3 linked regions of the Caenorhabditis elegans genome follow. The protein of the gene in region 3 purifies or fractionates together with the protein of the main gene of each other region. This does not show direct contact. Each region holds a gene or a part of one and is shown on either strand. Other genes may lie near its edges. The genes, in order: daf-15, hif-1 and vhl-1.

Region 1 (10,785 bases), on a different chromosome or scaffold from region 3:
GATAGTTCAGAAATAAAATCGATAGTTTCAGTCGAAATTATTTTATTTTCAAAAATATATTGTAGTTGCTGAAATATCGAAAAACTTGCAGTGCAGCAATATTGTTATAAATATTTGTATTCTTGTTTCCAATTTAATAACACCATTTCGCAAAATCCAGGCAATTCCGGAATCAATAAATGTTCTCAACTAGAACAAGACGGAGTTTTTTTTCGACATTATAATTTAAACTTTACAGTCATAGAATGATTCCATAGTTTTGTTCCAACTATGCAAGAGTACCGGCAGAGCAGTAGTAACTCCACTTTGTTCAAACTGCGACTTTGTTCGGTTTTTTCTTTTGGAGGATAAATGAATAGAAGTATTTTCTAACAATCAAAATGTTGAACTATAGTTTTTTATAAAACACTTATTCACTTCTGGAATGCTTTTGTGTGTTCCATAAGAACAGGAACATAAAAAGTTAGTTCCGGGTTCATTGTGATCTATGGTTTCATTTTTTCACCGTCTTCTTTTTTTAAAAATCAAATTGGTTACGTGCCAAGTACCATATATAATTAATCAAAATTTATTGGTTTTGTTCACAGAAAACCGATTATGTTCTTTGTATCAAATAATAGATATGTCTACGGTAGTTGTTCCCATAAAATTGATAAGATATGAGAATAAAACCCCCAAAAAGACATTTCATTTTTTTACAAGTTGTATAAAAGACCGCTCGGGAGAGAAGCAGTGACATTTGTGTTGAATATTTTCTAGTTCTTCATGCTTGTGTGAAAAACAAAATTAATCAGGAATGAGCGAGGAACATATTGCAGTAACTCGTTTCCGAGAGTACCTTCGTGTTAATACAGAGCAACCAAATCCGAATTATGGTAAGAATATACATTAGAACAGTCAACATTGTATAAAATTTTAGCTGCCTGCCGTGATTTTTTATTTAAATATGCTGACGAACTTGGAATCGCAAGAAGATCAATTGAGGTAGGAAAGTTTTTCAAAAATTTTTTTATGAAGTTTGTCCTTTTGAAAGTGGAACCAATATACTTTTTTTAAAATTTTTACAATCTTGATTAAAATGCTAGATTCTCATCCTTAAATTTTCAGACAGCTCCAGGAGTTTTCCTTGTAATAATGACGATTCCTGGATCTCAACCAGAATTACCTTCAATTATGTTATATTCTCATACTGATGTAGTTCCAACATTCCGTGAGCATTGGACTCATGATCCATATTCTGCATTCAAAGATGAAGATGGAAACATTTTTGCTCGTGGAGCACAAGATATGAAATGTGTTGGAGTACAGCAAATGGAAGCTTTAAGAAACTTATTTGCTCAGGGAATCAGGCAATGGAAGAGGACAATTCATTTGGTTTGGGGTCCCGATGAAGAAATATTTGGAATTAATGGAATGAAAGGATTTGCGAAAACCGATGAGTTCAAGAAGCTGAACCTTGGATTTTCATTAGATGAAGGGATGCCATCAGATGATGATGTCTACAAAGTTTTCTACGCAGAAAGAGTTGCGTGGTGGGTGAAAGTAACATTCCCTGGAAACCCTGGTCATGGATCACAGTTTATGGAGAATACTGCAATGGAGAAACTCGTAAGTTACACTCCTTCTGCAAATATTAAAACACTAAAACTTGTCTAGGAGCGGTTCCTAGCCAGTGCCAGAAAATTTCGCAACGAACAAAAAGTTGTATTGGAGAGTAATCCAAATTTAACACTGGGAGATGTTACGACTTTGAACGTGAATATTGTAAATGGTGGAGTTCAGTTCAATGTGATTCCTGAAAAGTTTGAAGCTTGTAAGTAATGTTTTCATTCAGCCTATAGATGTAAAATATAATTTTAAGATGTTGATATGAGATTGACACCTCATGAAGATTTTAATAAAATACGTGAAATGTTGGATCAATGGGCAAAGAATGCCGGAGAAGGTGTCACCTATGAATTTTCCCAAGTAAGGTTCTGAAACAAAAAATCAATCAAGGCTCTATTTCAGTATTCTGACCAAAAACCAATATCTGCACATACTCGAGATAATTCATTCTGGGCTGCATTTGAGGACAGTTTGAATCAAGAGTTAGTTAATTTTTTAACGGACATAATTTGAATAATAATATTTCAGAAACTGCAAATTTGAAAAAGGGATAATGGTTGCATCAACAGATTCAAGATTTGTGAGATATGTAAGTGATAAAATTGGCTAGTTTCAAATTGACATTCAGTTGATCTACTATTTCAGGAAGGAGTAAATTCCATTAACTTTTCCCCAATGATCAACACACCGTTTCTTCCACACGATCACAATGAATATTTAAATGAGAAAGTATTTTTGAGAGGTCTCGAGATTTATCAAACAATCATCAACAACTTGGGCAATGTCTAATAATTCAATTTTTAAAGTATTTTTTAAATGTTCTGTATAAATAAAAATGTTTGTATATCAATTCTACAAACTAGTAAAATAATTTTCTGCTTGTTGCAACGGTTCTCAACATATTCAGATTGCAGAATACCCATTTTCAAAAACTGCATAATGTGTTTGAAAGAAAAAAATTAACATTTAAATTTTTGCGAGAAAAATGTAATTTAGGCATATGATATCATATTTTAGAAAAATATAACCTACAAATGCTAATTACAAGTGTGAAAATTGATGTTGTTTGACTATCTGGCTAATGTCAAGTGATAAATTGTTCAGAAATTACTATAAAACCGATATGTCTTCGGTATTTTCTTTTAAACTCGTAGGTTTTTTCCTCAAACCTCTTTTAACAGCTTGAAAAGTCTCTTTTTTTTTTTAAATCAGGACGCCCCCATATTCAGTCACAAGCCAATTTTACTAGATTATAGATAATAAAATTTTTGAATCGAGGTGAGACCAGCTGTGTGCATTTAATAGGTAAAATTATCAATAATCATCAGATTTGTTAAATAGAATACTTTTATTTAACCAGGTTTCTATAGCGATATAAAACTTTTCCCATGGGCATTCAGATTTATACCCATTATTTTTCATATGATATTATTATGAACTAACATATTCTCATGTGAAAATTCCAGTTGACAAAACTTCTAAGAATTAGAGCAATTTCAAAATTTAATAATTTGAAATTTTTTAACAAGTCCTGATATCACTATCTTTTCTAAAACTTTTTGATTATTTATACATTTGCAGTCTGAACTCATCTCAATTACAGACATCTTCCATTATATTTTTGTTTTTTCTTATTACGTTTTTCCTTTCATTGGGACGGGACCACCATGACTATTTGGTTCATGAAAATTGGTATTCCTATCGCATTGTTAAATTATGTGCTTTTCTTTCGAATAAAAACAAATGGGATGATGTATATATTCCAGGAGTCAATATCTTGAAAGGAAGTGACAAAAGCACTAGAAGCTTCATTTTACATTCTTTTTCATTTATAAATGATCTCGTGACAATTTCTCATTTGTCACATTTGATATATTTTGAGTTGCTATTTGTTCATGTGCAATGAACGATGAAAACATTTGTGATATTTCTAGAAACTTGGCGACTTTTACTATTTTGTTACGGTTTTTGTCACTTTTCTTATTTATTTACACTTGGCTCAAGGATGTTTTTGATTGCGGATTATTGAGTTTATTGAAAAACCTCACAAAATCTTGTTTTTTTTTTCAAAGTGGAATTTCCAAAACGGTCGAGTTTTGCTCCATTATCACTTTTGGAAACAATTGAAGTGTACCATTTATTAATAAAACCTTCAAATGGGAGTTCATTTCTTACTATTAACATATTATTTAGAAACAGAGAACGAATACAGTATTCAACGAGCTATGTTACATTTGATAGAATTATGTTACACCTGCATTATCTAGTTAACATTTTACTGTTAAATCTGATTATATGATCAAGTTAACAGCAGAAATTCATGTTTAGCCGACATTAGATATGTTTTATTACCGTCGAAACTCCGTCAATGTAGCTTAACAAGAAAGCCATTCAAAAATGTCTCTTTACAAAATTTTGTAAAATTGGTAAATGTTTCAATTTCTTGCTTGTAGAGAAATTGAGAGCGTTTTTGATAGAATAATAAAAGCACACAATATATTTCCTATTAGTTCCTTACTGCTTTACAGCTCATATCTTATATATCTTTGGAATTATAAAAAATGTTCAACTATGAAATTACAAAATAAACATTTGACACATATTTTTATTGTCTTAAGGAAAAAATACGGTCATTCGGACAAACAAATGGGATATATAAAATGGGATAATGGGATCTTCTTTTTTTTTGACATATTGGAACTTCATTCTTGTATATCTTTATTTTAATTTCCCATTACCACTTCTCTGTTTTTCAACATAACATATGCATTTTCTTTCGAAATCTTTCTAGAATTTCAGATGCTGTTCTCATCGAAAATCTTGCTTCCAACGGTTTTCCTTCTGCTCTGTGCAACAACAGTGGCAGTGGATCCACTTGATTTCCTATTCAGCTCAAACATGGCTCGTTACCCGAGATATCGTCCGATTTCTTCATCCGCTGCATCTATCACACCGGATCTTGGAAAGAGGTTTTGATTTGAGTTCGCATTATTTCATTAGTTTTTAATGTATTGTATTTTCATTGTTAGCACATGAACTTGATTTTATTATAAAAACTGTTTAACTGGTAAAATATGTGTATTCAATATTATTAATGATGAGTTCAACTAGAAGTTGAAAACATTAAACTTTTTTGGGAATGTCTCCTTTAATTCTAAATTTGCTAGTTACAATAACTATTTAAATTCCAGAGCTCCACCTGGTTGTGTTTGCACAGAATTTCTTGGCTGCCATGGACCTGGATGTATGCGTCGAATGTATCCAAAGGCTTGAATCGTTAACTACTCCATTCATAATTGTTTCCATCTTTAATTACCAACCAAGTTTGAGAACATTTTCAAAATACAGTGACAACAGAACATCATTGAATAAAATACATTGTTAATGAATTTACTTTTGTTCAGAGAAAGATGGAATTTCGGCTCGAATTTCGAGATTAATTTTTTTTTGATATTCACAGCATGATTTACCTTTAACACCTTTAAATATACAATTAAAGTTAAGATAATACGAATTCTAGAAAGTAAGTTAAATTTAGGTGCAGTCAAATGTAATTTTTCACTGGTTTCGAGACAAAATATATGACAGTTGAAAATAAATATGCATGAGTCATCCCACAAAGTCAATTGACTCGAATAAATAAATATTTTTTTAAATTAAGATATTCCGAAATTTGCATTGTTTCATATCTGCTCTAGTATATACGCAGCACTGAATCACAGCCAATATAGAAAATAGTTTCCATTTTTTAATTTTGTTTTAATTATATTGTCGAAAAATTGTTTTAATACTTATTTGGATTAATTAAAATTTCGGTATAATGATGAAAACGTTGCGAAACCCGTAAATAAGGTGAAACTCTCATTTGAGTTTCCTCCAAAATGAGACAAAAAGTGCAACGGAGCGCACTTGCACGAATCACGTCTTCTTTAAATTCATTGCCAACGTGAGTTTCAATTTGGTTTTTGCACTTTTTGCCGACAAGAAAAATGCAATTTTGCACGAAATATTTTTTCTTAAACTCGGTTTCCAAAGAAAATTAAATTTATTGATTTTTTTATTTGTCTTGCTCACTCCTTCGTGAAGATCACATGATCGCACTATAACATGGCAAACAATTTTTGTTTCAGACACAAAATGGAAGAGGATAGGAGTATAACACCGTTTTCCTCGTTTGCAGAACGTTTGACAGTCAATTTGTGGCATGCTCAGGTGAGAAATTTAATTAAATAATGCAATTTTTTCAAGAAAAAACAAAAAAATATATTTGTTTCAGAGAAATGTAGAAAGAGTCACATTATATTTACAAGAACCCCGACATGTCGAAGATATCGCAGGAAGTATGGAAGATGAGTGGGATTGTATTGAAGAGTGGTTTGTTTTATTAGAGCATCATTTTAAAATTAAAATAATATTGTTGTGACGAAAGACGAAAAAAAAAACAGCAAATTAATGGAAAAACTCACAAAAAGTAAATAATATGAAATATTTTTACTGTTTTGCACTATACTATTTGGAAAATCAAAACGATTTCAGAAAACAAAGGGCATTCGGCAAGAAATTAATTATAAGTTAAAATAAATAATTTTCAGCGTAAATCGCCGAAAAGGCAGTGATCGCCTCCGAACTGCATCTGTCGCCATCATCATGTGTCTACATTTGGGAGTCGATCCACCAGAAGCTCCGTCTCGAAAAGATGCTCCTTCTCGTCTTTTATCATGGGTTGATCCATATAAATGTGGTGCACACAAAGCAGCCATAGAGATCGGATTGAGCACTCAAAGGGCTTATGAAAAGTGGCAACCAAAATCAAAGTAAGAGATGAATCGGATATTTCCAATGTTTCGGACTAAAATACGCTACTCTAGAATTCGGTTAAAAATTACAAAAATGAATAAAATTAACAAAAATGCAATCTTAAAGCCAAAAGGAGTTACAGAACTCGATATAAAATTTGTACGGATCCGCCTATCGATGACGTGAGAAAAGTTGCAACAAATCTTCGAAGAATCAGTGGAAATGATCGAGTTCTGTTTCACTACAACGGACACGGTGTACCGAAACCAACAGATAATGGAGAAATTTGGGTATTTAATAAAAGCTTCACCCAATATATTCCATTGTCAATATTCGATCTACAAGGATGGCTTGATTATCCCACAATTTATATCTGGGAAACTCATTCAGCTGAGACAATTCTTCATAACTATCGACGATTTGGAGAAGATCAGAAAATGTTTGTTTGATACCAAAAGTTAAGAACATACTGAATTATGGATTTTTAGATCCTGGCAAAGTAGGTTTGATCGATGGCAAGAGGAACAGAGGAATCTACCACCAATCTCATCAAAAATGACAGATGCTGATCAAGCAGAAGCATTAGGTTTTCCAGAGAAATATCCCAGATATAATGTAAGAATTGAATCTTTATAAGCAAATTTCCGACCAGCAATTCTCCAAAATGAGTCAGCGTAAAAAAAATTAAAGAAAAAATACTTTATTTCAGTTGGACTGATTGAAAACGTGCTCAAAAATTATTTGAAAGTTGGAATTTCCGGGAAAATTTCGATAATTAGTCGGTATTTTCGGCAATTCTCAGCTTTCAGAAAAGTTTTTAGCGTTTTTGAATAGTTTGAATAGTTTTTCAATTAAAGTGAAAGCTATTTTCCGATAAATCAAATTTTTTGCTATTTTTATCATTAAATTTTATAAAAAATGCTGGTCGATAATTTCCGCGTACCCCTGGTTCCGCACAAGAATTCACGTACCTAATTATTTTTCAGGATTGTATCCATCTAGCAGCATGCAGTGCCGGTCAATGGCTTCCAATGTCGAATCCTCATCTGCCAGCTGATCTATTCACTTCCTGTCTAACCACGCCTATCCGAACATCACTCGCATTTCATTTGAGTCATTCGGAGCATCGTGATGAGTATCCGGAAAACATTTTGGACATGATTCCTGGAAATCTTGCTGAACGAAGAACTGTGCTCGGAGAGCTCAACTGGATATTCACTGCCATCACTGACACAATTGCATTCACTTCAATAGATCGTGACTCGTTCCAAAAACTTTTCCGTCAGGATCTACTTTTGGCAACTCTGTTCAGAAGTTTCTTGCTTGCACAAAGAGTTATGTCAAAGTTCAATGTTTGTAAGTAATAAAATATCTGAAAGTTTAATGAAATCTAAACAAATTTTGAATTTCAGTACCAGTTTCGCAGCCTCCTCTGAAAGACACATCAATGCATGATTTATGGAGATGCTGGGATCAAACAATGGATATGGTTCTAGACTATTGTAGAGAATTGATTTATGTCAAAGAATGCGAAAGAGCACTGTTTTGTGGAAGAGATGTTATTAATAGAAGCAATGTGTTCCCGTTTTTAGGTATATTTTAATGCATTTGACTATTCACAAACTGATATTTTAGTGCTCATTGACTTCGAACATGTGCTGACTTACAATGAGACCCACCAGTACAACACATTCTTCACAGAACAACTACAAGCTTTTGAACTTTGGCTAGACTACGGTGTTGACGAAGGAACACCTCCACTCCAACTTCCGATGGTTCTTCAAGTACTTCTGAGTCAGGCACATCGTGTCAGAGCTCTACGATTACTTGCACGATTCCTTGATTTTGGTAGATGGGCTATCGGATATTCACTTGCCGTTGGAATCTTTCCATATGTTCTGAAGCTACTTCAAAGCAATATTAGTGATTTGAAAATCTCTTTAGCGTTTATTTGGGCAAAAATTCTGGCAGTAGATCCATCGTGTCAAATGGAATTATTCAATGAGTGTATCGATGAATCAGCAACACAACAACAATCACCAGCACAATCACAACAACCATCAGTTGCATTGAAACCATCATCCATGTTTGCAAATCATCCACCACCTGCACAATTAACAATGGATAAACGTGCACTTCAGATTAATACTCAAACTGGCGGAAGATTTCAAACTAATCAGAATCAGGCATTGGATATGCAATTACAATATGCTCAACAACAAGCTCATCAGAGGCAAATGGATCCATCAGGAGGACAACATTCACCAAATGCTCAGCCTAGACAACCACAACCACAGCAACCACAACAACTACAACAGCAACCATCACAGCAACAACAACAACAATCTAGACAACCGCAAGGAATTATGGTAAACTCACAATTTTTATTAGAACACAATTGGAGCTTTCTTTGAAAAAAACTAAATTAAAATTTCAGAAACCAACGAATGCACAGCCACAAGAAAAGAAGACAATGCTTCGTTTTCAATATTTCCTTCAACTTCTCGGCGATCCTGAAATCAAACCGAAACAGAAAACTGTTGCTGCATTCGTACTTGCTCAGCTAACATCCAATAATTTCAAACTGGCACAGAAAGAGCTCACCAATAAGGGATACATGGGAATTTGTACGGAATTGATGGTCGATGATACTGCGAGAAGCGTCAAATTGCTGAAACTGTGGATTCTGATTGGATTGGGTCGTCTGTGGTCAGATTATGATGTAGCCAGATGGCAGGGTATTCGATTAATGGCTCATGATAAAATGATTTTGGAATTGAGTGATGAATCAGCAGAAGTTCGTGCAGCTGCTGTATTTGCACTTGGAAGCTTATTGAGGAACTCTTCGAGATCAAATGAGCATGCATCAGCAGTTGAAGAAAATCTAGCAGGAGAACTATGTTCCCAGTGTGTGTTTGATAGTTCTGTTCTTGTGAGAGAAGAACTGATTGTTGCTCTTCAATGGTTTGTGTTTGATTTCGAGAAACGATTCGTGAAATTCTTACTGGAACTATCGAATCAAATTAAGTTCAAACTTCCACGAAAACGAAATTCTTCTGAAAATCTCAGTGAACAAGGATTGGATATTGCTGCAGAAATGCCATCAAATCATCGACGACCTCGTGCTCCACCAGTCAACGAATTCATGCAACCTTCAGTTATTCGAAAGAAAATGTCGACAAGTGTGTTCAGTACAGCTGTTGAAGAAACTGTGCATGAAGACGGAATAGGAAATGTTTACCACATTGCACATGAAGCTGGAAATCGTGTTGAACAAGAATCTGAAGATATTGAGTATAGGTAAGAAAGATAGAAATTGATTTATTGTAAAAAGTGAAATTTACAGAGAACGAGCAAAAGTACAGATCAAGCACTTGGAAGCGAAAACATTCAATGAAGCCGTTGCTAAAACTTGGTTGTCACTTTTAATATTGTCATTGGATCCTATTGAGAGGGTAGATTTTGAAAAAAAAGATTTTGAAAAAAAAAAGAATTTCTTAGAATGGTAAATATTTTAATTCCCACTTATTACTCATACGCAAATTATTGCGATTTCAAAAAAGACATCCGCCTTTAAAGAGTACTGTAATTTCAAACTCTGGTTTCTGTGGAGTTTTTATAGTTTTTCTCACAATTTATTAAATTTTTTGTGCGTTCATTGTAAAATTTAAGTTTTTTGAAAATAAATAAATATAGCTTTATAAAGCTTTATCGAAAAACAACAAAAATTTAGCAGAGACGAAACTTTGAAATTACTGTATTCTTTAAAGGCGCATACCTTTTTGCGTTAAACAAAAATTTGTCGTGACGAGACCGAATACAGTATTATCGTCACCTAATTCGCAAAATGTTTCGTCTGTGTAATACAACCAATACATCTCGTCAGGTTGCCCGAATGGCTCAAAAAATAGTGCATCGCGTCGAAGCAGGAATGCCCGAAATGCAAGCCAACATTGACAATACAATGGCTCATCTCAGTCGAAAAATGATTGCTCGTAAAAATTCGAAGGCGACTGTCGAAATGCCACGTAAACCAGTTGGACCGTCAGAAGAAGTTAGCACACTTTCAGAACGAATAAAACGAAATTTAGAAGTTGAAAAAGGTAGGTGAAAAATGAACGGAACTTTTGATATTCTATTAAAAGTTGTCGAAATGATTCCAGAGTCTGGAGTCTCTGCCGATGGAATTGACTTCACAAAATTAAATATGCAAAAAGCGAAGGAACAAAGAAAAGGAGGAAAAGGAGGACAAATCAAGAAGTTACAGGATGAATCAAAAGTCAAATTTCAAGTTGGAAGCCCTGGTGATGTAAATCAACAACATAGTTAGTGTATATTCGATAAAACAAATAGCAATTATAATAATTTTAGAAAACGCGT
Region 2 (12,787 bases), on a different chromosome or scaffold from region 3:
TAAAATTCAACACTCATAGTGAAAAAGCTAAATTTTTGTACACTTCCTTCAATTTTCAAAAAATTTAATTCAAAAAATGTATTTTTAAAATTATTTATTGGAAATTTTTTAGCTTGCCAAAGTAAGTAGTAGTATTATTTTTACTGAACAATAAATAAAAAGCGTTTAAAAACGATTGACATGATGAAAAGATTTGAAAATGTTCGCAATTTTTAGTACTAATTCAAAAAAAAAAATTTTTAATACTCGAAGGTGGAGTAGAATTTATTTTTTTGGTTTAAATGACTGAAACTTTTTTTATTTTCTAAATGTTTCATAATTTTTCAATTTTTTAAATCAAAGAAAAGTCGGCCGAATCAAATTTGGATTCCCGCGCAAATGAGTTACGTCTTTTTCTACATTTCTGCGTGTTCTGGCTAAATTTACCGGGTTTTCTTGATTTTTCTTCCATATTTGATTTGAAACGCTGTTTTTCAACTTTCAAACTTTTTTCTTGAAGAAAACTTGATAGCCCGAAAGCAATTGGCCTTAAAAGCGGCGATTTCCTATTTTTTTTGGAAAATTTTTTCGGGAAATTGTTTGAAAAATTGAAAAAAAGTGTTATAAATCAAGTATAGAAGAAAAAAACCAATAAAAACCGGCAAATTTAGCCAGAATACGTGATAATGTCGGAAATGACGTCACTCGTTTGCGCGGGAATCAAACTGAATTCGGTAGTTTCCTTGATTTTTGAAAAATTGAACAAATCATTAAAACATTAGAAAACTAAAAAATTACAGTTATATTCGATCAGAAGGGTATCCGTCATTAAAAGCAACATTTTTTTCGACTCTAATCTACCTTTAACGAAAATATTCTTGATTATGATCATTCTAGTATTAAGGTTCCCTCAAAATACCTCCTTGCGGATCTGAAATAAAATGAAAAAAAAAAAACAAAACAAAACAAAATTCAATTTCAGTTTTTCTTGAAATCTAGGCTTTAAATTTTTATTGCTAATCAAAATTCATTTGAAAGACGAAAGATCAGATTTTGCCAACGTTGCAGAAAGCAAACATACAGAGCCTTCCCCTCGTGTGTGTTCCATTTCATTTTTTTGTGCATTTTGTGCAACTCTCTTTCTTTTCTTCTCATTCTTTTTCAACTGAGTTTGAGAACTTGTGAGTGCAAGGTGCTCTCTTTCTCGCATCACAAATATGTTCTCTCTTCTCTTTCAAGTTTACTCGTTCTTTGGACTTGGACGCCGGCGCCACCGCGCGACTTCGCATTTTTCCTCTGAAATTGTTGTTGATTGAGGTTATAACCTCCGTATATTGAGGCTCGTATGATTCGTGACAAGGGTCTTTTGATCTTACAAAATTTGTTATGCCTTGACTCAAAGCCCTTGAGATGTCACCTTGCGTGCTTCCACGTCCAATTCATCTTAATTCAATTTCTAGCTAATAAGAATTGTATTTTGCAATACCTTTTTTATGAAAAATTTCTTTTTCCTCCACTGGTTGCATCTGTTTAGCTTTATAATTATAGTTGAGAGGGGTCAAATCGAACTTTGATTTCAAACTTCTAAGTGCCTATGCCCTTCCCATAATTTAGTTTGATTAGTTCTTTAAAGTATCAATGACGTGTTTTGGATTGTGGGACGTTGTTTTGAAAACAAGTCGAATGTTCTAGGCGTACTAGGTCTGAAAAATAACAGTTGAGAAGAAAACTGAACAACAAAGAGCGGTCAATGGGTATTATTGGAAATATTTTACGACTCTTTTCTTATGAAGTTTCGGCAGAAAACATTGGTTTTTAATCCTTGTAACAATTGTTCTGATTTTTTAAATCTTTAAATAAAGTTGTTTTCTATCAAAGGTAGTGTAGTCAAATTTTTTATTGCTTCATTAGACCCAAAATTGTCTGAAAACACCGAATTTCATATTGAAACTTCTTGAAAACATCAAAAAAACTTATGGCGGCTCAAAAAATGACAAAAAGTAGTCAAAATTTGAGATTGGACTGACTGCAGCGGCTAGAAACTAACTTTTCAAAATGACCGTTTAATTTCGGGGTATACCAGTTAATTATCTTGCGTTTTCAACTCGATTTCAAATTTGAACTAATTTTAGGTCATTTTTTTGACCCAACATAACGTTTTTTGAGAAGTTTTCTAGAAATTTCATTTTGAAATTCGAGGTTTTCAGACAATTTTAAGTCTAATAAAGCAATAAAAAATTCGACGACACCACCTTTAACAGTCAGCTGATACATAATAATAATATCACCTCAAATGTTTTTTTGGGAAAGGTTTTAACATGCTAAAATTTTCGGAAAAAGGGAGAAAAAACTAAATAAATTTTTAATTGGTTAAACACAACGTTGTTAGGGTTGAAATTTGAATATTAGTATTTTAAAGTCTGAATATACTCGAATGGTTAAATATTAACGATGGTCAGGCTAAACCTAGCATCATTTTTTTAGTTTAGGACTAGCTTTAATCTAAATTTCCTTAATTAATTTCCATTATTTTCCAGTGTACCTCCCTATTTCAACGTTTTCTTACCCATCATCCCAATTTCATTTACCGCACCGCCCTTCTCTAAACCACGTGTTCCCTCTCTATGTCGATCTCTGCGTCTCCCTCGTTTATACTACCCTCTAGTGTCTCTCTGTACTCTTGACCATCATCGCGATGTACGCGCGCGTCGGAATTCTGTCGCGACAGCACTACTGACGTTGTCCTCTCTTTAGTTCTCTCACTCTCTCATCTCTTTGGACTCTCTCCAAATCGCACACTATTCAATATGTCTGCCTGCTTGTCTCGTGTCTCCGTGGTTTATGTACTTACTGGGTCAAGAGAGTGTGTTAGATGAGAGGTCTTTTTTTTGGTTTTTCTTCACCTCTCTCAATTTTCAGAGAAAACTCTACTTCTCTAATTCATTTTTTGATCAACGAAGAAATGTTTGGATGCCCATCTTTGGTTTGTAGGCACCGCCCACTAGCTGCTCAGTTTTTCTCTAATGAGAGATTTCAGATTTTCAGAAAATCTATTAATTCTTATAGTTCAAAGGTAACGCTAATAGGTTTGATTTCATTGATCTGTATTTTAAATTTTTATTTAACTCCAATGTCAAAACATAGCTCCTGAACCACATATCGGAAAAAGTTGATCCTTTCCATTATAAAGATATGGACTAAACTCAATTTTCGCTAAATTTAATCAATTATCAGTCACTCTACTTCTCTGTACTCTAGCTTTCCCCCAATTTTTTGTCTAACATTCTGTCAATCGACAGTCTCTGAGAAGTCGTTTTGCCCACTGTCGTTCAATTTCTTGTCTTATCAACATCTTTCTTCTTACATTTTGTCGTCGCCTCCCGCTTGTTGATGATGACTATCTGTTTCCCTCGTTTCATATGACTATTGATTTTATTTAATGTTCCAATAACTTTCGACAATTCTTTATTATATTTTGAGGATTTATATTAATTGTGCACTCTCTTGATGTATCGATATTTTCAATTTCTCGATTAAGCTAAAAAGTGTGATATGAGATGTAAGGACTAGCTTTATTAGACTCAAAACTGTCTGAAAACACCAAATTTCTTAATGAAACTTTTTGAAAACTTCTCAAAAAAATTATGGTGGCTCAAAAAGGACCTAAAATCAGTTAAATTTTAAAATTTGAGCAACTCTCAGCGGCTGAAAACTTATTTTTTTGTCATATTTTGGGCCGCCATAGTTTTTTTGTGTCCTTTTCAAAAATTTAATTAGAAAATTCGGTGTTTTCAGACAATTTTGAGTGTAATAGAGTAATTAAAAATTCGACTACACCGCCTTTAAGTCCAAAGATTGATTGAATCCCGATCTTAACTATTTTATTTGAAATTCACTTGATAATAAGGATAAACTAAAATCACTACACAAACTACCCTTTCTGAACTTGAGTATAGTTATCTTCAAAAACATTATTGTTTACGCTCGGTGAAAACACTACATTCTAGTGATTCCCCTGTTCTTTGACTTACTTCAACTACAATTTTTTCAAAGATTGATCGTAGTTCATTCATAGTTTGATGTTAGTCACCCCCTCAATCTTGCCCCATTCATACCATTGACGTAACATCAATATCCAGATTTATATTTTTGAATCGGGAAAATTTTGCTTTTAATCTTTTTGTGTGCCCTTTTCTCCTTCACTGGCTTATCACATGATTCTTGTAATCAGTTTGTATTCACTCAATATAAAGAAATTGACAATTTTTCTTGAATTGAATTCAGCGAAATTTCCAGTCTACCTAAGTTCTTGTTTTTAGATTTGGGTTTTAAATTGAGCATTTGATCTCTATGATTTGTTTTCTGCAACATTCTTATGATACTTGCCTAACAAATAGTCAATTGTCCATGAAATTGTTACAAATCTTGACGTCCTCTGGGACCCCGTCCAAACAACTGTCACTAACATATCCAATCGATCGTTTTGTGCACCCTTGGTATTTATGATGTTTCAATTTGTCTCACTACACTCTACCCTAGTGCTATAAATCATAACTAAACTTGATTTTTTATTCAAAAGTGTTAACATTCGAAAATCTAACAACCCCTTATGTTCTCAATGATAATTTTAAGAACATTTGATACAATTTTTCTAATTCCCTCTACCCGATTCTATTCAATTTAAAATTGTCATACATTTTCAGCCCACCTGAAAGTTGCCCGTCATTACGGGGAAGTTGCCCCAATCACACCAACCTCAGCTTCACTGAAGCTGCACCTATTCACTATCAAGATGGAAGACAATCGGAAAAGGTAGAGTTAGAATTCTGTTAGAATCGAAATTCATTCTTAAACATTCCATGATTGGATGCCTGAAAACGCTAGAAGTACCGTAGTCCTTTGGGTTTGCTCCATGCTCTGCTCGCAAATGAGAGAGAGGGAGCATTGGCAGAGGTAGATGTATTGAAAATGCGCATTTCCGAATCGAATATCAAATGTGAATCATCTATATAAAATATATCTCGCTCTTTTTAGACACAACTCATTTTTAATCGGAGATGTTAGATAAAGTAAATTATGAAAATAAATTGTGAAATAATTGTGATTGAAGGTGGAGTAGCGCCAGTGGCAGTTTTGCCTAAAAAATACACTTACAATGGCTCGAAACAACCAAAAATCATAATAAAACACTTAAAAATTTTTTAGATTTTTCATAATTTCCGGTCAAAGTTTTGGCAAATGGCCAAAATTTTTACAAACATAAGTATTTGAGGAATGCCGCATGTTCCGATCCCTACTATGCTTCCAAAATTATGAGTGGCAAAAATTGAGTGATTATCATCTAACGGACGGTAAATAAACAATTTCAAAAAATTTTTGACAATTTTTAATTTGATATTCGGTCATTTTAGTACCATTGGATTAGTTTTCAACACTTTCTCCACTGGCTCCTCCTACTCCACCTTTGAAAAAATAAATTTTCCCAGTTATACTTAAAACTAAATTAAATCGAAAAACCTCATGAGAAGTGTACTTATATAGGTATATAATTTTTTGAAATTCACCAATTTTGGGGTGACAAGAAATTCAAAATCAAACTTTTTAGAAACATGGAACGCCGTCGTGAAACATCGAGACACGCGGCTCGTGATCGTCGGTCTAAAGAATCGGATATATTTGATGATCTGAAAATGTGTGTGCCTATTGTTGAAGAAGGTACCGTAACTCATCTAGACCGTATTGCACTTCTTCGTGTTGCCGCCACAATTTGTCGACTGCGCAAGACAGCCGGTAATGGTAAGTGACATCGAATAAAGAAATAGTTGATTCAACATCAAAAATCACTTGAAAATCGTGTTTTATGCTGAGAAAATCGACCAAAAATCACTGCCAATTTTTCTCAAATTAATATTTTTCTTTCAGTATTGGAAAACAATTTGGACAATGAAATCACAAATGAGGTATGGACTGAAGACACCATCGCCGAATGCTTGGACGGCTTTGTTATGATTGTTGACAGTGATTCTTCAATTCTTTACGTCACTGAAAGTGTTGCAATGTATTTAGGATTAACACAGGTGAGCAATAGAAAACTTGCTTCTTTAACATCGATATATTTTCAGACAGATTTAACAGGTCGAGCCCTTCGAGACTTTCTTCATCCATCCGACTATGACGAGTTTGACAAGCAATCAAAAATGCTGCACAAGCCACGTGGCGAGGACACAGACACCACCGGCATCAACATGGTGCTTCGAATGAAGACAGTCATCAGCCCACGTGGAAGATGTCTGAATTTGAAGAGTGCTTTGTACAAATCAGTGTCTTTCCTGGTTCATTCAAAAGTTTCAACTGGTGGACACGTGTCATTCATGCAAGGTATCACAATTCCTGCTGGACAGGGTACAACTAATGCAAATGCATCTGCAATGACAAAGGTGAATATCTGCTTTGAATGTTTCATAGTAAGATTCTAAAGTTTGAACTTTTGATCTTGGGAATTTCTGCTCCTCCTTTCCGCTTCTTGATAAACTGATGGAATTGTGAGACAAAATGTTGAGTAGACGTTACACAATTTCATTTTCTTCTTATTCTTCTGCTCGCTCGAAAAGTTTGTTCTTTTGATCTTTAAAATAGAGAATAGTGCTTTGAGCAAAGCACACTCAGCCGTTGGCACCTCGCGCATAGAAAACAGGATTAGAAAATTGGAGAGAAGTAGAGAAGCACAAGCACATGCAACTTGGCGTCATCTTCTCCTTTTTTGAAGCAGAAGAGAAAACGGAGAAGATGTTACATCTTGTATTGCTGCTCCGTTTGCAAAAGTAAAATGAGCAGGGACTCTGAATACCTAGATAGAAAAGTGAGTCCTAAAGGGCGTGTATATTCGAAAACTTTTTCAAATCAGATTTATAGATGCTATAAGTTTAATAAAAATATAGATGGATTAATTTACAGTACACGGAAAGCCCAATGGGTGCATTCACAACTCGTCACACTTGCGACATGCGCATCACTTTCGTTTCGGATAAGTTCAATTACATCTTGAAAAGTGAGCTGAAGACTCTCATGGGCACCAGTTTCTACGAATTGGTACATCCAGCCGATATGATGATAGTATCAAAATCCATGAAGGAACTTTTTGCCAAAGGACACATCCGTACCCCGTATTACCGGTTGATTGCTGCAAATGACACACTTGCCTGGATTCAAACAGAAGCTACTACAATCACACATACGACGAAAGGACAAAAAGGACAATATGTCATTTGTGTTCATTACGTTCTCGGAATCCAAGGAGCTGAAGAGTCATTGGTAGTTTGCACTGATTCAATGCCAGCTGGAATGCAAGTAGATATCAAGAAGGAAGTGGATGATACAAGAGACTATATTGGAAGACAACCTGAAATTGTGGAATGCGTCGATTTTACTCCATTGATCGAGCCAGAAGATCCATTTGATACGGTTATTGAGCCAGTCGTTGGTGGAGAAGAACCTGTTAAGCAGGCTGATATGGGTAAGTACATGTTTAAGAACGTATTAAAAGTTTGTAATTATACAGTTTGATTCACCTAAGTTTTTTTTATCCAAATTGAATAATTTACGAGGTACGTATATAGGAATTTATTCGGTGACGGATGAGTATGAGCAACGTGTTTATGGGCAAATTTCTGCCGGCAATGATATAGAAGACTGCGATATGGATTCTGATACAGAATCCATAGAAGATTCCGGTTTAGCACCGGAATTCGATGTGGATCTGGCTCCGATTTATAATGAGAAAATGGAAGTTGACGGAGAGGATGAGGACGGCGGAGAGGAGGTACTTTGGGAAATGGGATTATGATTACTAAGTTAAAAAAACAACAGATCGCAGTTTTCCCCTCCGTTGTCCTCATACCTCCGTGAGTTTCTCTTTTTCTTATTTTCAAACTTGTCAAACTTGTCCATGCATGTCGTATTATTTTTTACCCTACGCCTACTCAAAGTTCCATACATTTAGCAAGTGATTTCTTAACGTGTGTATTTCAGGAGCACGTAAGAACAGCTACGATGACGTTTTGCAATGGCTTTTTCGCGACCAGCCAAGCTCTCCGCCGCCGGCACGCTACCGGTCAGCGGACCGCTTCAGGACAACCGAACCGTCGAATTTCGGTTCCGCTCTGGCCTCGCCGGACTTCATGGATTCGTCATCTCGTACCTCCCGACCGAAGACATCATACGGACGAAGAGCACAAAGTCAGGGAAGTCGAACAACTGGATCGTCTTCCACGTCAGCATCGGCCACATTGCCACACAGTGCCAACTACTCGCCACTTGCAGAGGGCATCTCACAATGTGGACTTAACAGTCCCCCGAGGTTAGTTTTTTATACATTTTTCACAATTAGCACGTTGAGCATGTACATGTTTATAATATCCTTGTATCAGTTGCAGTATCAAATCTGGACAAGTCGTGTACGGAGACGCTCGATCTATGGGACGTAGCTGCGATCCGTCCGATTCGTCACGACGCTTTTCCGCCCTTTCACCATCAGATACTCTCAATGTGTCGTCCACTAGAGGCATCAACCCAGTCATCGGAAGCAATGATGTGTTCTCCACTATGCCTTTTGCCGATTCTATCGCCATTGCCGAAAGGATCGATTCGTCGCCAACATTAACCTCTGGCGAACCAATACTTTGTGGTTAGTTTTTTTTAAATGTTCAAATCAATCTCATTCGTGAAAGAAATCAGATAACTTTCAACAAAATGTTTAACTTTCAGACGATCTTCAATGGGAAGAGCCTGATTTATCGTGCTTGGCACCATTCGTTGACACTTATGATATGATGCAAATGGACGAGGGGTTACCACCAGAGCTTCAAGCTCTTTACGACTTGCCTGACTTTACACCTGCGGTACCTCAAGCCCCAGCTGCTCGGCCTGTGCACATTGACGTAAGCCTGTTTTGTTTTTGGCTCCTAACATTATGTTAATTTTTGCAGAGAAGCCCACCAGCGAAGCGAATGCACCAATCAGGTCCCTCAGATTTAGATTTTATGTACACTCAACATTATCAACCATTCCAACAAGACGAGACATATTGGCAAGGACAGCAACAGCAAAATGAACAACAGCCTAGTTCTTATTCCCCATTTCCAATGCTCTCTTGATTATTTTCTACCCCCTCTCAAACTGTTCATTGTTTTGTTTTCAAAAATATACTCTTCATTCATTCAAGTCACACTTCTTATTACTTAATTCTATTGCTCTTTTTAAGAATAATGAGTTTCAAGAATCCTCCCCGATAAATTTTCCCCCATTCCTTTTTCCCTTTCCCTCTGATTTCTTTATTTAGTAAAAAAAAGAAGAATCGTAGTACAAAACGTGTCTATCTGTGTGTCCGTTTGTCCGTTTTTCCCATCTCCATAGTGATAGTTAATTGCATCATTTATACAACGAATCTTCTTATGTTAAGTTTTCTTTTCATTTTTTCACAATGCTCTCGTCTCATTCATTTTCAAAATTCTGTCCGTCTTCGTTTTCTTCTCGATAAAACCTTTTTGGTTTGATCATCTTTTTAAAACTTTACAAAAAGCACTATTACAGAGTTTAGCATTCATTTTTGTGGAAAATATCTGAAATTTTGAGGTATGAGCTTGTAAAGTGAAAACGCGTCTAAATCTATTCGTCTTGATTTACAAATTACTTCAAACGTACGATCTTCCTATTAGACTTTCACTTCTTAGTAGTACTGCACCTCGAACACCTTCTAAAATTTAGACTGTTTATTTTGAAATGTTTTTTTGCAAAATTACAACAAGGCTAGGATTATTGCATTTTTGTTCCAATTAACCACAATTTTGCAAAATGTCTTTCAGAAACAGTTGTTCTTGTAAATGAAAACATGGAATCCTAAACAAAAAAGGCGTATGAAAATTAGTATTGCACAACCTAGTTGTAATGCATTCGCTTTGAAAAATAGTATTGCATTCATATTAATAGATAATGAATACATATACGCATCAGACCTCCGGTTTTTTTTGTGGAAAAAGCGAAAAATGAAAAATTTTCTTACTTTTTTCTGTTTTCCAATTATTCGGTTTTTCGATTTTTCGGTTTTGCACAAGAAAAACTAAAAAATGGTCATGCAATAGTCAATGTTGAAAACTGTCAGTTTCAATAATTTCCGACAATCGGGGGTTTTATGCAATTTTATAAGTTTCAATATGCTAAGTTTCACTAATCAAACCGATTCTTTTTGCAAAAGTGGTTTGAAATTCCATATCAAAGATCAAGATCTAGAATTATCAAAACTACTGTTTCGGAACTAAAACAACTGCCTAGTTCAATTTGCCATTCCAAATCAGGGGTACACGGCAATTTTTTCTGTTGTGTCCGTTAGAATTGTAGTAATTAGTCGAACCCACAATTTATTGATGAGGTTAAATCGGTAATAAATATATAACAAACAAATGAGTTCAGTTCTATTCACACGTGTTGATGCCCTCTTGATAACCTTCGCTCACGTCATACTTCTTTCTGGTGTGTTGCATAACCACACAACATTTTCTGAACACAAAGTGCTTTAAACAATAAGGTAAAAGATATTTACCAAAGTTGTTGGTTGTCGGAAATTTTTGGTTCCCAAGCACCGAACAATAAGTTTTGAATTCTTCATTTTATCAAAATTTCAATAACTATTGCTTTACTTTTGAATAGGTTCGCTCTTTTTGGTTGTTGGTATGCTATCCAATGTTTGACTCCTGCCCTTTTGACTTTAATTTTCAATAAAAAATTTACGTCTCTCCATCTTTTTTCATTTCAATGTCAGTTCAGACGGACAAGTCAAAAGCGGCTGGTTCCGCCTAAACTCAGTGCTTTTTTTGCATTCACGTCATAATGGCATAGTAGAAAAAGCAGAAAAAATGAGATGAATGGCGGGAACAAAACGGATTATTTTTTGACATTAATAAATTGAACTTTCGAGATAAAAATGTTAATATGATTTTTTAAAACTATACATACAAATGGAATAACGTATCAAAAACTATCTATCTTGAGAAAAATCAAAGTTTTGTAGCAAGCATTTCCCACGAGAGTTCCTCAAAAATCGGAACATTCAAACTTTGTTCGAAAAACAAAAAAGCATTGATTTATAATGTGAAGATAGTAGAAATGCAGTGAATACTTTCGTAGTTACGGAATTTAAAATCAAATCATTACTGAGTTTGGAAAAGAAAATTCAGATATTTTACTTTGCAATAACTAACTGTAGAAGAAATGGTACATCATGCCGCATAGACTCGCTGCTTTGAGGTTTCTTTAACAAAATTGTACGGTGATATTAGAACCTATGTTAGGATTTTCGGCAATTTTCAAGCCTAAGTATTTTTCGGAAATCGAAAAAAAATTTGTTTTTTAGTATTTGGTTAGTCTAAAAGAAAGCGTTCAATCCATCAAGGATTGAATCATTTCGTGATTGAAAAAAGAAGTACTCGGCAGTTTGCTACTCCTGGCGCGCGCATGTTTCGCACCGAGCGCGCGGACGGAGCGCGCCCGGCGCATTTCATACGAATTTGGCCACGGCTCGTTCCCCTTCCCTTCATTACTATGCCAAATAAATTGTAAACGTAGAATACTGGGTATATTTAAATTTAATTTTATTAAATTGAAAAGGTTAAAAAAATTAAAAACTTCAAAATTAAAAATTGTTCCTTTGTCCAGTCAGTTCCCTTCTTTTTGTTGGAGCTCTTCAAGTTTTTTCGATGGACCTGAAAAATAAACAAGTTAATTTCATTCATTGAAACATTTTTCATGTTCATTTGAAGAAGAAAAAAAACTTACAGGAATCAGGGAGAATAAACAACTCCAAAAATCTCTCGTGCATATATGCTAGGGCCGTGTGAAGGTGGGGAATCCAAATCGTCTCCATATTTTGTTGCTTTTCTGAAAATATTAAATTCTGTTTTTTAAATAATCGAGATGCATAAAAGATATTGAAGACCGGGTATTTATCAAATTATTTATAATTTCGAAGAAATCGTTTTTACTATCTTACCGATGAACTATGTCATTCTGGTCCTCCGATTATTTGTTTTGACCAGGCATTTATGCAATTTCTGCAAATTTTTTCATTAATATTTAATTGAAAAATAAATAAAAAGTATAGAAAATGTGTAAAGTCGAAAAAAACTGAAAAAAACACGCTTGAAAAAACTTGAAAAATTTGGCAGAGTTGAAATCTAGGCCGCGGCCGCGATCTGCGGAGGGCGCGCGCACGGGCGCGTACAGAGCGTGGACGATCCGCGCACAGAGCGTCGACGATGTGGGGATTATGTTTTTTCTACGTGAATTTGAGGATTGGGAAGTCAAAACAACTATAAAGTGCCTATATACAGGTACTTTCTTATATACGGATCTATATATACACAAACATATCACCATAGTTTCCTAGTAATTGTGTACCATTTGAAATTTGCAACTTCGAGCAAATAAATATTCCATTTTAAACATTTACTTATTCATACTCTTGATTACATAGTAATAGTCTATAAAGTTTAGAAAAAAGCACGTTTACTTTGTTTTCTGGTTCCTGCTTCGTTCTTGACAGACTCTATTCGCATCCAGTGCGCATACTATGCGCGTCTCGAGCGCGCCTTTTGCGCTTTAGGTGCGCGCGCCAGGCGGATTCCCCTGACAGTTGCCGGTTTTCAATATTTCCGGCAATCGGCAATTTCGGCAATTGACGGTTTTGGGAATTTTTGGCAATCGGAAATTGCCGCGCACCCCTGGTTCAGCACTCATTTCCTCGGTTTTCAAAATATTT
Region 3 (9,405 bases):
TTTGGAAAGTAATCAAGAAGTACCAAACTGAGGTGAGTTCGAAAAATATTATTCTTTAATAATAAATGTTTAGAAATCCGTCGCTTTGAGAATCTCGCCCGGCAGGCCTCGAGTGACAACCCATAGGATGGATCGCAACATCCTCCGATCAGCAAGAGAAGATCCGCATAGGACCGCCACGGATATTCAAACGATTATAAGTTCTCCAAATGAACCTGTACCAAGTAAACGAACTGTTCGTCGACGTTTACAGCAAGCAGGACTACACGGACGAAAGCCAGTCAAGAAACCGTTCATCAGTAAGAAAAATCGCATGGCTCGAGTTGCGTGGGCAAAAGCGCATCTTCGTTGGGGACGTCAGGAATGGGCTAAACACATCTGGTCTGACGAAAGCAAGTTCAATTTGTTCGGGAGTGATGGAAATTCCTGGGTACGTCGTCCTGTTGGCTCTAGGTACTCTCCAAAGTATCAATGCCCAACCGTTAAGCATGGAGGTGGGAGCGTCATGGTGTGGGGGTGCTTCACCAGCACTTCCATGGGCCCACTAAGGAGAATCCAAAGCATTATGGATCGTTTTCAATACGAAAACATCTTGGAAACTACAATGCGACCCTGGGCACTTCAAAATGTGGGCCGTGGCTTCGTGTTTCAGCAGGATAACGATCCTAAGCATACTTCTCTTCATGTGCGTTCCTGGTTTCAACCTTGTCGTGTGCATTTGCTCGATTGGCCAAGTCAGTCTCCGGACTTGAATCCAATAGAGCATTTGTGGGAAGAGTTGGAAAGACGTCTTGGAGGTATTCGGGCTTCAAATGCAGATGCCAAATTCAACCAGTTGGAAAACGCTTGGAAAGCTATCCCCATGTCAGTTATTCACAAGCTGATCGACTCGATGCCACGTCGTTGTCTAGCTGTTATTGATGCAAACGGATACGCGACAAAGTATTAAGCATAATTATGTTGTTTTTAAATCCAATTGCTCATATTCCGGTACTTTAATTGTCATTTCCTTGCAACCTCGGTTTTTTCAATATTTCTAGTTTTTCGATTTTTTTGAATTTTTCTGAAGTTTTTTCAAAATCTGTTGAACATTTTTGATGAATATTGTGTTTTTAGATTTTGTGAACACTGTGGTGAAGTTTCAAAACAAAATAACCACTTAGAAAAAAGTTACACACAAAAAACCAAAAGTGGATATCTTTTTGGCCAGCACTGTAACACACATATATCTATATTTCTCATTTAACAGTGAAAAAGTGTTGTTCCTTGTTAGAAATGAATGCACTAAAGCTTAAATAGAAGGTAAAAATTAACAAATCTCACTCAAACTTCATCTATCTCTCCATACTTTATTTTTCAGCACACCTGCACCGCTATTGGTTTCATTGAAGAAAATTCGCAAAAGTGGATCAATGATTGTTACATTCTATCAAAATCTCCAATCAATTCTACTGGCTTTGATAATACAGTTGATATTTATGAAATTTGTGTTTGACAATGAAATACTACTCAAAAATGCGGTTAGAAAATGATGTCATGTCTGTGACTGTCAGTTTTATACATCAGAAGATAAAATAGAATCATTAAACAATGTTAAAATTAACATTTTATTTTTCGTTTTGAATTGATTTTGTTTGTATACACGTATATTTTGTACCCGTCTCTTCTCTGTTCCCGCACAAATATCAGGGTACAAAGAACATGTTGGAGTATAGAGAAAATAGAGAATTTTAGAGTACCACGGTGTACTTTTTTCTCTGTTCATTCTCTATCTTAATGAAACATGTTTTGGTCATTTAGTCCATTTTGTCTGTTAGTACGATTAATCTGTAGTTTTCCTCTTTTCTCCAATCATAAATGTTTTTCAAGTATCATTCGGACTAATTGTTTTTCCACTTCTTCACTTTTGTTGATCGTTCCAGTGATATTTTTCCTCGTCCTCTTCACTTGTTGTCTCTTGGTTGTTTTGTGTTCCCGGGTTGCCCCCGACTGACTTAATCGTAAGAGATCAACGCGCAAAAGAGACGCAGGCAACACATTCCCTTTCCACATCGATTTCGAGCCCGGTTGTGTCCTTTTATCGTTGCGTTAAAGTTTCTATTGGCCATTTTTATTACTTAATATTTCTGCTTCAGATTTATAGGGATGCTTTCAGGTAGTTAATTCTGATGAAGCAGAACGTGAAACAAAACATGTATGGATTTTTTCGCAGGTTTATTCCAAAGGATGATAAGAAAGCGGATAAAAAAGTGAGTTTTACATCAATTACAATTTTCAAAATTGAATATTTCTGAAGAAAAAAAAACACTTATTGAGTTTTTTAAGTGTAAAAATGTACAAATACTAATAATTTTTTTAAATTGAAGTTTGCGAACGGAAACACATACTTCACTATTATATTCAAAATTATGATAGCTCTCTTTCAAATCGTCACGTTACTTAAATTATTTGAATTCTTTCTTTCAATCAAAAAATACCCGGTTACTTGAAAATAGAAAGACAACCATTGTTTGTTTTTAGAATCCAATTTGAGACCGATTAGCAATCAGAAAAACTTTATTTAACAATTTTCGGGTCAGGTGAAAAACTCTATGGTTGAGCAGAGTTTCAATTTAATTTACTACAATAAAAAATTCGAGTTGAATATATGTATTTCAGCGGGTACTGAAATCCCTAGACGAGGCTGATGTATGCGTAGTTGATGTAGAAACATTACGATGCGCTGTCTGTCTCAACATATTTCAAGGAATCCCTCAAACGCTGACATGCGGTCATTCATTCTGTCATAGATGCATTGAAGAAGTGGCTCATTCGGAAGTGATGAATGATACAAGAGAACCAAACCGAAATGTAAGTTTTGTAAACCGTAATTGTAATTCCTCTATAAGCATGGTCTTGAGAAAAGGGTCTTTGGGTTCCGTGTTGTGTTAGTGAAGCGGTAAATGGGAAATTCAGTTTTGTGCGCACTTTTTACTTTTCAAAATTCGTTTTGTTAGATGGAATATCAATTGATTAATTCTAACAGGAACTCTTGGTCCGCAGACTTGTTTCTCGAGAACATTTCGGGACAAAGATTTTATGGAATATGTATTTTCAAAAAACCGTATGCAGATTTTAAGCTAATATAATAGGATTTCACTCTGTGTTTCAGTCGTTTCACTGCCCCATTTGCCGGAAGCGTGTCAGCATGAGCAAGGTTATCCAGAATTATACACTGAAAAACGTACTGGATAGTATTAACGAACTATCGAGAGAGGAGGAAAAATCAAGAAGAGCGTATGATAATACTTTGGATGCATCAGTGAGTTACATCAATAATAAAACAATATTTGCAAACAATTGATAAATTTTAGAATGAACAACTCCGCGTCAAATGCATTGATTTGGAACGAAAAGCAGATAGTCTAAAACGAGAAATCAACGAAATGCGCAGAAAGGAGTACTATAATTATGTTGCTATAACATTTTTCATTATTGTCTACATTATCCTGTCGACAATGTTTGGAAATTGAATTATTGTATAGCTATTCTAAGAATTTTAGAAGTATTTTCCTTTTTTTTAATTGTTGTTGTATAATACCTATTGAACCGGTTAGATGCTGATACTCATTACCTATGTCCAACTAGTTGTAAATAGGGGTCATCGAATTTCAAATTTTGTTCTAAGTTTTATGCGGTTAAAAATTATTATAATAAATAATGAATTGGATATTAAATTGGTAAAATGCAAATATTTTGAAAGAATATTCCATTTCGTGTTCCGCGTTCTTGTGAGAACAAACAAGCTTTGAATTGCTAAAATCAAAAACAATTGGTTTGAGTGATGATAACAAAAATATTGAAATTGCATGCGAAACTTCATGAATTCTAACGCTGGGAATTGAGCACTAAAATCTGAAATCAATTTATTTTCAGCAAAAAAGCCGTAAGCTGATTTTTCTGCTCTCCAATTTTTTCAATTGTAAATTGTTTGTTTTTGAAATTAGAAAGTCGTGTGTACCTTTGACCATATTAATTTTTCTTGTACTTCAGTCCGAATGTAACATGAAATATAATAAATTATCTTACAGAACATCATTTGCCAACATAACTTTTGCGCTTTTAAAATACTTTACCACAAATGCTAGCAAAAATTGTGACAAAAATGGTGAAAAAATCATTAACAGTATTCAATGCTACTTTTGAGAAAACGACCGTATGGGGAATGGAATTGCTTCTATCATGACAATTTTCGAAACTATATACAATTAGAATCATTGCTGAGGTCTCTGGGGTCCAGGAGGAGGAATTGAACGGCAGACTATTTCGGAATATTCTTGTTTTCTATCCAGAAAATGTTTGACTTCAAATTGTAGTTCTCGTGGAAGTCCTTTGATTTTGTTTGGAACTTCAGTTGGATTATGCCGTAAGAACGAACGTCCGGCAATTTCTCGTAAGGATTGAACTGAAAAAATATTAACAGTTAAAAGTGAGGTGCAAAGAGGAATTAATCGTTAGAAATGGGGAAACATGTGATTCGATTTATTCTGCATTATTACCACTCACTGAGTAAGTGACAACGAAATCGTAAAACTAACGTCGGAAAATTCAAGAAATTGATTATTTATTCAATTGTTTTCTTTTCCATTTTTCTATGTAACCTTTTAAAAATAAAAAAGCCTACCTTTCATTGTGATGACACAATGATTTCGAACAATCAAATTCATTCGAGGAGCTGGCTCCGGCCAGAATACTTCTTTTTCGTTTACCAATACTTTGCATCCATCAAAGGATCTCCTAGCAACCCATGGATGATCCTTGAAAGTTTTAATGTCTAAATACTTTTTTTGGGCAAGTGTTCCGTATTTTGTCGGTTGTTTCTGTAATTTAAGGATTTTATCTTTTTCGTTGTGTAAGAATTAAATTTACTGATGGATTCAGCCAAAACACGTCCACGGGGTAAGCACATCTGTTTAGGAAACGAACACGTATCTCTCGATTGTCATGTGTTGATGAGCCCAAGTCAGGAAATAACCTTCCATCATCATCCATCGAACCGTCTGACATTTTTCTTCTGAAAACCAATAAAAACATATTTTTCACATATCATAATGAATAATTAAACGTTTAAAGTAACACGAAAGGACCAGGTATTAATCAATAAAAAAGACGCTGTGAAAAAGAGGTGGACGGGTGTAGTGGACTGAGGGCCGAGACGGCTGGATTCTTAGTCCCCGGCCTTTTCTTGTTAGCTCTGCCACGAATACGATGTGTAGAACAACCTAAATTGATATTACCTCGACGCTTAATTATTATTTTGAAAATTTATTAATGTACTTCAACAATAATTGTAAAATGTTTTCTAACTTGATTTTATTTATTGATTGAAAACAGAAAATGATGTGTTCGTTGAGTTGTTTTTTTCAAATCTAATTTAGTTGCAATAATTTTGATAAATCTGAAACACAAGTTCCAATAATGTCTGATCAGAAACCAATTTTTTGTTGTCTTCACCGATTATTAGGTTTGGAACGACACAAAACGTTAAGTGCCAGCTCACCGAGGCATATAAACGAAAAGAGCCCTCCTGCAAAAAAGAGGCCTCCCTATTCATTCGGTGGCCACCACGTCTATCCTATTGCCTCCAGTGTATTGCTTGCCGTCGAACACTCTTCTCCGCACACTTCTTTTCTGCCTGAATATTGATTTAAGGGCGTTGCCTTGACCGTACTTTTTGTTTCAGGGATTAACATCAGTTGTGAAGAAAATCTAAGGGTTGCCAGACAATTAAGAAAATCTGTACGCCAGCTTGCAAAAAATCACACAAAAATCATTTTATAAATGAAAACTCCAATTGGATAAAACAAAGACAGTGCTCCGATTGACAGCGGTTTATGACACTTCAGTCCTGATGCAACGTGAGTTTTTGTTTAATTTGGAAAACAAATTATTTAAAATTTTAAAACACAGTCAAAAGTTTGTGTAAGAATACTTTTTAAAACTGACGGATTTTTTTTTTCAAAACGCCTAGTTTAATTTAAATTTCTTCGTTTAAAACAAAAAATTTTAAAAATAAAATGAGGAAAGTTGAATTACAGGACAGAACAAGATGGTCATGACATGGTAGAATAACAAATTCCATTTATCATTTGTTACTGATGATCTTCTGGTGATCCGTTGCGTCTAGGATTTGATTGGATTCAGCTTCAGTGTTGTAAATGAAATAAATACACAGGACCCGTCAAAAAGCTTTGAATAAAGTATGAATTCGTGTTTTTTCAGCGATACGCCAAATGGAACCCCGTTGTGTGAAGAAAACATAAAATTTTCGCTCAAAAAACGAAGTACGGATAATTCAATTTTTCCAATTTTTCCATTAATTCGTTCAATGTACCGATTACAAATAAAAACAATAAGAAATCTTATCTTTTTGTTGTCAATTTTTGATAAGACGTACTGTCTTTCCTCTTGTTTTATTTCAAGACAATAATACCTTTTTTGAATGTTATTTGAGCACTACTTGCACTTGCACCAAACAAATCTTCTTCAAAAAATTATTCAGATGTTCTCCGCAATACGAAAAAAATTGGGTGGTGACAAAGAAGAGAACAAGTCGACTGTTATGCCGTCAGGTGTACAACGAGTCGACGCGGAATTGCAGAGAAAATTCGCTCGAGGAGTACAGTACAACTGTTAGTTTTTTTTCCATTTCACCTGCTTCTGGTAATTAAATGTTTTTAGTGAAGATTGTAATTCGCGGAGACAGAAACGTCGGTAAAACTTGTCTATGGAAACGACTTCAAGGGCTTTCATTTCAAGAGGAATACGTGGCAACCGAAGAGATTCAAGTAAGATCTCGTATTTGCTTGGATATGGATACAGACTTTGCTTGCATCAAAAAATTCAAAATTTGAAAAATACTCAAAGTTTGATTCCAGGTAGCCAACATCAACTGGAACTATCGCGCAACGGATGACGTTGTCAAAGTTGATGTTTGGGATATTGTAGATCAATCCACTAAGAAAAGGGTCAAGGATGACAAGTTAAAATTGGCGAACAATGGGATGGATAAAAATGATGGTTTAGATGTAAGTCTTAAATTGAAAAACTTAAGAAATGCGTACAACTGAAAATAGTTTAAAGAAGAAATATCCTCAGCGAAGAATGGAAATCTTTGAAAGAATTTTCCGACAATGTTTGTACACTGGTAACGGAATAAGAAATCGTTTAAAAAATGCAAAGTGATATTGCAACAAACCGGTTACAGCGCATTTCACGAATAGTTCAGAAAACTCATCGATATGTAGAGTGTGGTATTTGACTTGCGTGGGAAATGATAGGTTGAAAACATAACAACATGATTTGTTAATGCGTATCAATCTTTCTGAGCTAATATTAAACTAGTTTCAGAATCAATGTCAGTGGTTTGAATGGACAAAAGGTTTAAAGTTAAACTAATTTAGAAACATCCAAAATGCCAAAAATTAGTTAAACTGGATTTTGCAAATTCATTTCAAGTAAATTACCGTTTCCACATCAAATGTTTGACATGGGTTCAAATCAAGAAACAAAAACTTAACAGCATGATAAATTTTTGATTTCAAACTAAAATTTCAACAAACACACTTTAATTTTATTGACAAAATCAGTAATATTCCACATATTTCAGTACGAGGACACAGCCTGCGATGCACGTTTTGTCGATGTTTACAAAGGAACAAATGGTGTCATTTTTGTATTTGATATTACAAAAACGTGGACATGGGAGTATGTACAAAAGGAGATTGTGAAAGTTCCGAACAAGATTCCTGTTCTTGTTCTGGCAAATCGTCGAGACATGGGTCATCACCGTCAAGTCACCGATCTACAGTGCTCGACATTTGTTGAGCTGTTCAATAGGTAAGATTTTCATTTTCAAAAATACAATTTATCTGAATTTTTGCTTTCAGTAGTCATCCTTCCCCAGATGGTTCTCCACGTGCTCGTTTTGCCCCGGCATCAATGCGATATGCATTTGGACTAAAATTCGTACATCACTTTTTCAACATCCCTTTCCTTTGCCTTCAGGTATTATTTTGTTTTTACTCAAGTTCTCACTAATGACGTTTCAGCGTGAATCATTAATCAGACAATTAGAAACGAATAAATCAGAAATTGTGTCTAGCTATCACGAGCTTGACTGCTATCAGGAGACCCCAGAGGCCGACTATGACACGTAAGCGCAGTCATGAATATTACGAAAAACTCTTAAAATAGAATTTGAATTTTTCAGTTTTATTGAACTTGTGAACCAGAAGAGAAGAGAGTATGCAGACAAAAAGAGTGAAATGGCAAGACAAGGTGCTGTACAAACGTCTGGAAGAGTCATGGGTGGCGGACAACCAATTCCAGGACAAAGGCTCACGCCGTGAGAAAAATAGGAACCTGAAATAATTACTTTAGAATATTTCAGACCGACGATTCCACGCGCGAATATAGATCAGTCAGAAAATAATGGTACGAATTTACATTTTGAGTGGAAAACTGTCACAGTAAAAAATCGGAAGTCTGTTTGTGAATCTCAGAAACAAATTTGAGCAAAAGTGTCACAACATTTTTAACGTGGTTTTCAAGAAATTGACAGCCTGTTGTGGATGAATGACATACGAATGCCGTGTTTATTTTTTCAATAATATATATTTTTTTAGCAACACAACCTGCATCTGAAACAACCCGTAAACACTCCTTCGAGATGGTTGGTGATGAAGATGAAGACGGTATCAACACCTTTTTAGGGGAAAAACAAGAAACAAAAAACCATGGAGTTACTAAACCCAAACAAAGCGAAAGTGATAGGTAATAGCTGGGTATGGATTATAATCATCAATTTAACTTTTTTTAGTGAGACTGAAAATAACATGGTTTGGAAGTTCGAAGAGGATTTCTCAGTTGACGATGAGTTGATGGAAAGAATGGCAAAAGCTGGAGAGCAGAGAAAAGTACAGTCGAATTTGAAGAAGTTGGCAGTACCCGAAACTGTGGAAAGAGAAGTGTCAACTCCAATCGGTTAGTTTTTATAGTCACGATGATTTGATGTTATTACTTCTTATAAGTGTTTGAATTTCATGTTTACAGCGTATCATGTTAAAGTCCATGACGATGACGTCGATTCGCCCGTTATTGAACAACCGCCAATTGCATCAGAGGTTCACTTATTTCGAGAGAGGAATTTTATAAACAAGAAACATTTACAGAGCTTTGAAAGTCCAAAATTCGAAGCACCACCACCACTTCCTACGAACAACCCCTTAACAGTTGCCATGACGTCAGACGATTTGGATGCTTGGCTTGGTTCTGATGACCAGTCACCAAAGTCAACTAATACGGTAAGAATTTTTAATGTAATATAAAAGCAATATATTTAAAACAAAAAATGTTAGTAATTTT

Evidence for each region.
Region 1: the proteins of vhl-1 (region 3) and daf-15 purify together in Caenorhabditis elegans (affinity purification with western blotting, with the first as the bait; one study listed by BioGRID). This does not show direct contact.
Region 2: the proteins of vhl-1 (region 3) and hif-1 purify together in Caenorhabditis elegans (affinity purification with western blotting, with the first as the bait; one study listed by BioGRID). This does not show direct contact.

The regions. Positions count from the first base shown.
Region 1 is NC_003282.8:9,380,719-9,391,503, forward strand, and holds the start of daf-15 (Raptor N-terminal CASPase-like domain-containing protein), read left to right. Parts: upstream 1-5,489; coding exon 5,490-5,554; intron 5,555-5,731; exon of another isoform or gene 5,732-5,738; coding exon 5,739-5,820; intron 5,821-5,884; coding exon 5,885-5,982; intron 5,983-6,200; coding exon 6,201-6,422; intron 6,423-6,538; coding exon of another isoform or gene 6,539-6,547; coding exon 6,548-6,844; intron 6,845-6,893; coding exon 6,894-7,020; intron 7,021-7,391; coding exon 7,392-7,761; intron 7,762-7,817; coding exon 7,818-7,997; intron 7,998-8,040; coding exon 8,041-8,774; intron 8,775-8,842; coding exon 8,843-9,705; intron 9,706-9,751; coding exon 9,752-9,860; intron 9,861-10,291; coding exon 10,292-10,508; intron 10,509-10,550; coding exon of another isoform or gene 10,551-10,568; coding exon 10,569-10,730; intron 10,731-10,776; coding exon 10,777-10,785. Other genes in the region: C10C5.5 (N-acyl-aliphatic-L-amino acid amidohydrolase), read left to right, coding at 797-875, 920-984, 1,108-1,608, 1,657-1,813, 1,862-1,968, 2,011-2,090, 2,137-2,197, 2,254-2,397; nssp-45 (uncharacterized protein), read left to right, coding at 4,408-4,577, 4,800-4,881.
Region 2 is NC_003283.11:20,775,731-20,788,517, forward strand, and holds hif-1 (Hypoxia-inducible factor 1), read left to right. Parts: upstream 1-4,676; 5' UTR 4,677-4,771; coding exon 4,772-4,791; intron 4,792-5,584; coding exon 5,585-5,775; intron 5,776-5,901; coding exon 5,902-6,056; intron 6,057-6,101; coding exon 6,102-6,416; intron 6,417-6,741; exon of another isoform or gene 6,742-6,805; coding exon of another isoform or gene 6,806-6,838; intron 6,839-6,933; coding exon 6,934-7,492; intron 7,493-7,595; coding exon of another isoform or gene 7,596-7,798; intron 7,799-8,007; coding exon 8,008-8,335; intron 8,336-8,405; coding exon 8,406-8,662; intron 8,663-8,742; coding exon 8,743-8,915; intron 8,916-8,963; coding exon 8,964-9,131; 3' UTR 9,132-9,530; downstream 9,531-12,787. Other genes in the region: Y44A6D.1 (uncharacterized protein), read right to left, coding at 11,686-11,732, 11,806-11,893.
Region 3 is NC_003284.9:11,303,010-11,312,414, reverse strand, and holds vhl-1 (von Hippel-Lindau tumor suppressor homolog), read right to left. Parts: upstream 5,060-9,405; 5' UTR 5,047-5,059; coding exon 4,909-5,046; intron 4,860-4,908; coding exon 4,664-4,859; intron 4,445-4,663; coding exon 4,254-4,444; 3' UTR 3,897-4,253; downstream 1-3,896. Other genes in the region: F08G12.5 (RING-type domain-containing protein), read left to right, coding at 2,193-2,249, 2,659-2,850, 3,152-3,301, 3,354-3,512; F08G12.1 (Rab-like protein 6), read left to right, coding at 6,542-6,671, 6,721-6,827, 6,918-7,067, 7,649-7,878, 7,929-8,046, 8,091-8,194, 8,252-8,386, 8,432-8,475 and 4 more. UniProt on the Caenorhabditis elegans protein: Involved in the response to variation in environmental oxygen levels by targeting the hypoxia-inducible transcription factor hif-1 for proteasomal degradation when oxygen levels are normal (around 20%).